Linked DNA regions of Ovis aries. The protein of the gene in region 1 purifies or fractionates together with the protein of each later gene. This does not show direct contact. Links are inferred from orthologs where the notes say so. Each region holds a gene or a part of one and is shown on either strand. Other genes may lie near its edges.

Region 1 (3,887 bases):
CCCACACAGGGGCATCTGCACCGCTCCAGAAGTCTGCTGGACCTTTGTATGACTGCCCGGCCCTCCTGACACAGGTCACCGGGTTACCCCACAGCTGGTGTGTGCCTGCGGGTTTACCCGATGGTCCCAAGGGGCTGTGGACGTGCCTCCCCAGGGGCCCCAGCATCTGCTGAGGGAACGAGCCTTTGAACACGGCTGTCCTGTCCCATGCTCAGCAACCCCACCCGAGTCCTTCTCAGACCAGCAGCGTGGTCTCACCATCACCATCACCAGTCCTCAGCAGCCCCTAAAGTCCCAGTTTGCACTTCTGCCCCCCGGCCACCCCCATAAGCACCAGCGCCTGTGGGGGGATGCGCCTCTACCCTCCACCTTTAAGCACACGGCTCTGGAGGCTAGGGTGCCAGCCCATCAGGAGGCTGTGAGCCGCGTCTGGGCAGCGGAAGGATCAGAAAAGCCAGGGGAAGAGGAGGAGGAGGAGGGAGGGGCAGAGTCAGCTCCTGGAACCATCTCACCACATGAACCTCAGATCGAGCTTTTGCCAAATAGGTTTTCCTTCCCTCGGCTGTTCACTGAAGTGAACGCGTATCGAGTGCTTGACGTTTCTCAGCATCGTTAAGAAGAACGGTGAGGTATTTGGGGATATGCATTTATTTTTAATAATAAAAGAAATCCCCCAACAACTGAGGGCCGTGACTCAGTTCTCACGCGCGAGGGGCTCTCTGGACCTGGGGAGGATGCACAACCGCCTCAGGACACGCTTCCTGTCCTCCCTCCACAGGGGCCGTCCGCCTCCAAACCAACGTCAGCCTGAGGCGTCTGTGTTTCTTCCAGCTCCAAGGGCCACAGCCAGAGAGCGCCTCCTCCTAACTAAAGGAGCGCCTTCAGAGCCTCGAGGTGTCTGAGCTGCCGCAGGGCCCTCCCGGACGGCAGGGGTGGCCACTCCAGCGTCACCACACCTGGCACGTCTGGATCACCTCCTTCAGGCCCTTCACCGCCTCCATGCTCTTGTCCTTCATGGCCAGGGCGAGGAGAACGGCTCTGTTTCCAGCTTCTTGAGAAACAAACGCCACCAGGTTCTTTGCGAAGACATGGACGAGGGGCTGACGAGGGCAAGGGGAGAAGACCACTTTAACTGCCTTCACCCAGTACCTCTCAGGAGCCCAGGCCAGCTTCCCGGCTCCTCTCTCTCCTGGTTATCTCTACTGAAAGGGCCGTGAGAGTCCACAGAGGGAAACCCTGTCAGACCTCACAGATGATCTTTCCAGAACAGGGCAGAACAGGAACTCATTACCATGAGGCTTACGTTACAGAATCAGTGCCTCTGTGCATCTGTCTGATAAAATGCCGACGGGCTGCACGCAGCAGGCGGACACCCTCAAATTATCTGGGGGCCCCGCACAGTGCTGCCCTGGGCTGAGGTGGCGGGGGACGGGGGCTGTGCTTGCCTCCAGACGCTCCCCATCCTGACAAAGTACGGGCACGGGGAGCCCTTCCCAACCACATTACCTCATCCTTCCCGAGGAGGACTTTAGTGGTCAGCACAGGCTTGCCGATGTCGCCAGTCACGCTGCTGGGTTCCAGGGAGACCAAGGTACCCATCTTCCCCAGCTGGGTCACCACCACCAGGATGTGACTGCTGAAGGCTGTGCAGACCACCTGGGTGGGGACTCCACACACCACTGCAGTCTTCTGCTTGGATGTCAACAATGGTTTACCTTCCATGGCTGAGTCTGCTCAATGGCACCTTTCATTTATGTTAAGGAAAAAAACAGAAAAGGAAATCAGTCAATGGCAGATAGCCTGGGAGCTCCAGAATAAACACTATTTGGTATCAAAAGAGAAACACAAGTTGGCCCATTCACAAGCCTGTCTGTTCGCCCACACAGGCTTTATTCGCCCGGAACTTTCTGGATTCACTCAGACACACACAGGCTGGATGTCAAAGTACGCTTCTCCCTGAGGAGGCAGACGAGGACAATCCCTCCCCGCGCGGGGGCCCCACCCCACCCCGAGGGCCCTCCCTGAGTCCCGGGGCCCGCCCTCGCAGGGGAGTGGGCGCCGCAGACTCGGAAACCCGGCAGAGCAGGGCCGCGCCTCCGCCGCCCCTCCGGTCCGCCCACTAATCGTTTTAATCGTTTTCTGCGTTTTGAGAAACCGTCGGTCCCACAGAAGCAGCAGCAAAACCACCACAGCGCGGGGAAGAGGGCGGGGGCCGGGCGGCGCCCCCGGGGGCGCCCAGCCCCTCCGCCCGGCTCCAGCCGCGCGGGACGCCCACTACCCCGCCACCCGCCATGCCGCCCGCGCTCACCGCGCCGCGCCCGGAAGTGACGCACGCAGGCCCCGCGGGCCCGCCCCGGCAGGCCCCGCCCCGCGAGCGCCGAGCCCTCCCCCGCCGGAAGTGCAGCCTGGGGACTTCCGGCTCCTGCTGCGGCCTCGGGACTCTGCGCTGTGGGGTTCCGCGCCGCCGCGCGGGAAGGGCTGGGCGCCATGTTTGCGGAAAGAGGCTGCAGCACCAACCCGTGGGCCTCTCGGCCCCTGGCCCTCAGGCGAGGGGCGCCTGACTTCTCCAGAAGGGCGTCCTCGCGCCCTCCTGAGGGAGACCCTGCAGCTCTGTGGTTGAGGAGCCTCAGAAACGGGGTTTCTGGCCCTTGGCCATGGGTTCCAGGACCTTCAGGGAAACACGGGGAGCTGAGAGAGAAGCAGGGCCGGACGCCAGTTTAAGCACCGAAAACGTCCCAGTCAGGACCCTTGATGGAGGGCGCAAGAGACCTCAGTGTGGGGCCCTCTGGGTTCATCCCAAATGCCTGTTGACTGAAAAAAAACACACGACCTAAAAGTCGGGAGTTATGTTTTATTCCTTGGACAAAACTGAGGACTTGAGCCCAGGACGCAGCATCCCAGATAACTGAGGGACTGCCCCGAAGAGGTAAGGGAGGAGCCAGGGTGTATAAGGTTTTTGCAACAAAGACCGGGTAGTCCGAAAGTCAGAAGATTGCTTAATAAAGGAAAACCAGGCATCTCCAGGAATTCAGCGCTTTCCCACGTTCCTTTGATGTGCACCTCAGCTTCCTGGGGTGCCTTCTCGTGCTTTCTCACCCCGAGTCCCCTCAGGGTGCACCGTCGGGCAACTGTGATGTGACGGCTTGTAGGTGGCAGCATTCTTTGCTTACTGATACAGCACGTGACGTTTTTCACTTAGAGCAGCAGGAACCAGTGGGGATTTACAGCCAAAGATCAGGACAGAGTCAGTGGGTGGGAAATTACTAAGGGAAAGGGGGGTGGGGGGTTTCTAGGCAGGAAAACCCAGGAGAACTCCTGCTGGAGGCAGGCCAGGGACGCTTCAGACCACCTGGGGGACGGTGGGGGATGAGGAACTGGTTAGACTTTGGCGGTTACCAGACATGCAGGATCGGGGGTCACAGAAGTCCAGAAGTGAGCGCCTAGTTGGGAAAGAGTTCAGAGGGCTTCCCTGGTGGGCCAGTGGCTGACACCATGCTCCCAGCGCAGGGTTCCGTTCCTGGTCGGGGAACTAAGGCCCCACATGCCGCGTGGTGCAACCAAAAGCGGTTTGCTGCAATCTCTGACTTTCGAATATCTCAGTTCCCACGTCTGCTGCATTGGAGGTGCGGAGTCTTAACCACTGGGCCTCTAGGGAGCTCCCTGACTAAGGCCGGTGAACCCCTCTAGGTGGCTCCAGGAGCCTCTACCCTTGAAAGCCCCTCCGGGCCAGCCGTCCACGGCCGAGGGGATGGTGACAGCTGGCGTTAATCTGGCACGTAGTGTGTGCCAGGAGCTGTGCCACGTGCTTTCCGACAGTGACGCGTCCAACCTCAACCCCGCTGAGTAGACACGTTACCATCCCCGTTGTAGAGACCGTATGTTCAGGC
Region 2 (3,907 bases), on another chromosome or scaffold:
ATTAATACCAAACACTTAACACTTTCCAATCTGATAAATCTTAAATCCAGTCATCCTTTCGAAATCGGCTCCACCTGCTGCCATTCCTACTTCATTGTTTACTTTGAAACACCTCCCTGCTCCCAGTTTCCCAAGCGAGAAAGTTCTGAATGACCTGACTCAGTGCTTCCCTTCTCCCGTATTAGTGCACAAGTGCCCAGTCTCTTCAGTCGTGCTGGACTCTGCAACCCCACCGACTGGAGTCCAGCAGGCTCCTCTCTGTCTGTGGGATTTTCCAGGCAAGAATACTGGAGTGGGTTGCCATTTCCTCCTCCAGGGGATCTTCCCGACCAAAGGATGAACCTCCAGCTCCTGCATGGGCAGGCAGATTCTTTACCGCTGAGCCACCTGGGAAGCCCTTTCCCATATTAACCATATGCCAAGTCATATTAATTTAAATCAGTTCCTCCCCCACAGTAACTCAATTCTCCCTTCCATTCTCAATGCCCTCATTACCTTTCACCTAACTATAACAGCCATCTAACCGGTATTGACTCTTTCCTCTAATTCAGTCAATTAGTTCCTATAAATACAATTATGACTGTGTAACTTAAAATGACAATTAATGGCACAAAATAAGACCCAAACCCTTCAACTTCAAATTAAAAGCCACCCAATACCTAGCACCAGTGTTTTTCTCTGAACTCCCTATTCCCATATGCGCATTGTATGTGCCAGAAGCCTAGAATTTTCTCAAACATGAACTGTGTTTTCTCACGGCCCCTCCTCTGTTCATCTTATATTCTCTGCCTCAAAACTATTGACTCTTACTGTGCATATTTATTAAATTCTTACTCCTGAACTCAGTTTAAATATCAACTCCTTCTAAAGTTTTCCATAATCCCCTTATAATATCAAATGCAACCTCTGTCATTAAAACTCCCATAGTGTTGATTTCAGCTTCTCTAATGACATGAACACATTTCTGACTTATACTGTAGTTACTTTTGTAAACAGCGGGGTTTTTTTTTTTTGGCCATACCTCATAGCTTATAGGATCTGTTCCCTAACCAGGGATCCAACCTGCACCCTCAGCAGTGAAAGCCCAGAATTCTAACCACTGGACCACCAGAGAATTTTCCTGTTAAGTAGTTTTTAAAGGACAGTCTCCCATATGAGAACAAGGATCTTGATTTTTTTCACTGCTATATGATCAGCAACTAAAACAGTGCCTTGTACACAGCAAGCATTTAAGTATATTAGCCAAGCAGACTATATTTTAGGCATTCTTATGAAGATACAATGAAGGAGGAAATGGCAACCCACTCCAGTATCCTTGTCTGGAGAATCCCCTGGATAGAAGAGCCTGGTGGGCTACAGTCCATGCGGTCGCAGAGAGTCAGACACGAGTAAAGCGACTCAACACAAACGCAGGAAGATACAAAAATGAGTAACACGAAGCAGTTAATAAAGCTGTTAAGTAAATGATCACAAAAACCTTAATAAAGGTTTTCTGATAAGGACAATTTCCATCATACACACCCTTACTCAAAACTGTATCACACAAAGACGATTCTCTTCAATGTTTTAGAAAATACCGACCAACAAAGTCATTTTATAGGACAGTAGAAAAAAAGTCAGTTTTAAAGCCTCACATACATCTTATGAGTCAGTAAAAATTTTTTTTAGAAGTAGCAGTTCTAGGTGATAAGACTTTCAACAAGATCAACATATACTTGAGAAGAAATGCAGCTTCTCAAAGCCATCTAATAAAGAGAAAACATCTGCCTTTCCTGGCCTCAAAAATTTTTAAGCAACTTAATAGCTAGCTATGTGAATCATACCTGATCAAAACAGAAACTGAAAGTAAAAATGTCTACAGCATAAGTAGAACAACTTAATATTAACATTCCCAAGCTCTGAAAGTTTTTTAAAGATACAACAATCTCACAGCTTTGATTTCAAAAACAGGTTTGGTTTTCGACACACTTAGAGCAACTTCCCTTAAACTTTTTAAAAATTCAAAAAGGCTATTTGAATCAGCATGATGACAAAACTCTTGAGAATCACTCTAAATTTCAGTTCCCACAAAATCTGACTCCAGACACTGTGTCTTGGCAAAGCTGAGACTTCCTTCGCTCCTCTGCAGAAACTAAACATCCCAGGACGCCCTACTACAACTCAATCAAAGGAATAGCACCTTTATTCCCACAACTAAGAAACGGAAAACGAGGCTGTCCTCCTAGAAAGAAAAGGGAGCTGAAATCATCAAACCCATTAAGTGATCCCTAATTGCTTTTTCTTCCAGGTAGCGCGTTTACATCTTTTAAAAGGCAGTCACACTCAGCACAAAAAGAAGGGGAGAGAGGGTGACTCCTGGCCTTCCCCGGGTTAAAGGTCAGAGTTCCGGCCCCATCAGCCTTCTTTTCCGAAGCACAAAGCGGAGCTTCACGCTTCCGCACCGACTTGGGACCCAGCAGTGACTCAGCGGTAGGACAACTGAGGCCGATGGGCGCAAATCTAGCCTTGGAGAACACAGCGGACGCCTGGGGAAGGGAGGAAACCCCCTGGCTGGGCCAGAATTCGGGTTCGTGGGGGTGCCCCGATGACACGGCAGAACCCAGGCCCAGACCGGGCCCCGCGTCCGCCCACCCGTTACCTGACCCCCTCTCCCCTCCCCCCCAGCCATACAGACCTGTCGTACTCAGACCGGGTGAGAAACATGGTAAGGGCAGGAGAAAGCGGCAGTGGCTACTCCGGGATTCTTAGAGCCAACACGAGTCCACCTGCAACCAACTCACCCACACCGCCACACTGCCAGGGCCACTCTCCCAGCTGCGCGTGCGCTCGCCACCCTTCAGCCCGCCCTCCCGTACCTGTCTCTTATTGGTTGATCGGAGTTCCCGCCGAGGTGATTGGGCCAACGAGCTAACCCGCCGGGCCTCCGGTGGCCCAGGGTGGGCGGGACAAAGGTCGTTCTTCCGTTTTAAATCGCTAGTGGTTGCCAGGGGCGCTCGGAACTGAAGGCGTGTGGTCAACCTGTCCCAAGATTGTCGACTGGGTAATTTTATGGCGAGCCGGACTGTCTGAACCCTGGTTTGATGGGTCCCTATCAGAGAGCGTTTGTCCCAGGCTCTCCTCGCTGTCCACCCGCCCGGCTGTTAGCTGTATTCCCCGCTCTTCCGGCTCTGGCGCAGACTTCCCTCCAGGTGCTGTGACTGCCTGCAGGACTGAACTTGGGAAATGCTTGCGTCTGCACCGGTGCTGTGAGCGAGTCCATTCACTTCAGCTCACCCTTCCCATGGCTCGTTTGTTGAGAAAAGTTGGTGAGTTTTAGTTGGTAGGAAGGTCTTGAAGTTTCCCCATGGCCAGGGTAATTTTACAGGAAGTCTCCTACATAGGAAATTTCAAAGTTGAAAGTTGCAAACTTTCAAAGGTGGGAAGTGCCTTCCCCTGTCCAGTTACCTAAGATAGTTCACATTGTCACATGTGTGCGTCCTTTACAAGTGGTTTTGCTTTTGTGTTCTTTACAGTAGTATATAGAGTACAGTAGTATAGTATCTTTATTTGAAGGCCAAGATATCCCGAAGTGAGCTAAAGCAGTGGTGATGTAGCTGGTACTACTGTACTTTCCAAGGTACTGTACCATAGATTAAAAGTGTTTTCTTTATTTTTTTTGTGTTTGTTTTTTATATATTAGTGTGAAAAGTATTTAGAAACCTATTACAGTACAGTACTATATAGCCGATTGTGTTAGTTGGATGCTTAGGCTAACTTTGTTGGACTTACTAACACGCTCTTGGAAGGGAACTCATTCATGTGTAGGGGACTTCCATTCTTACCCCCCAGCCACTAGTACTACAGGCTTTCAACCTAGTGACCCAGAGCTCTGGATCTGGGATTCAAATTGTTCACTGCTTTTTCTATT

The links.
Region 2: the proteins of PSMG3 (region 1) and PSMA5 purify together in Homo sapiens (co-immunoprecipitation; 4 studies listed by BioGRID and IntAct, with this or other methods). This does not show direct contact. The link is inferred for Ovis aries from reciprocal best matches to the Homo sapiens genes PSMG3 and PSMA5.

Annotation. Positions count from the first base shown.
Region 1 is NC_056077.1:41,764,559-41,768,445, reverse strand, and holds PSMG3 (proteasome assembly chaperone 3), read right to left. Parts: upstream 2,317-3,887; 5' UTR 1,723-2,316; coding exon 1,507-1,722; intron 1,101-1,506; coding exon 948-1,100; 3' UTR 631-947; downstream 1-630. UniProt on the Homo sapiens protein: Chaperone protein which promotes assembly of the 20S proteasome. May cooperate with PSMG1-PSMG2 heterodimers to orchestrate the correct assembly of proteasomes.
Region 2 is NC_056054.1:86,670,992-86,674,898, forward strand, and holds the start of PSMA5 (proteasome subunit alpha type-5), read right to left. Parts: upstream 2,817-3,907; 5' UTR 2,704-2,816; coding exon 2,675-2,703; intron 1-2,674. UniProt on the Homo sapiens protein: Component of the 20S core proteasome complex involved in the proteolytic degradation of most intracellular proteins. This complex plays numerous essential roles within the cell by associating with different regulatory particles.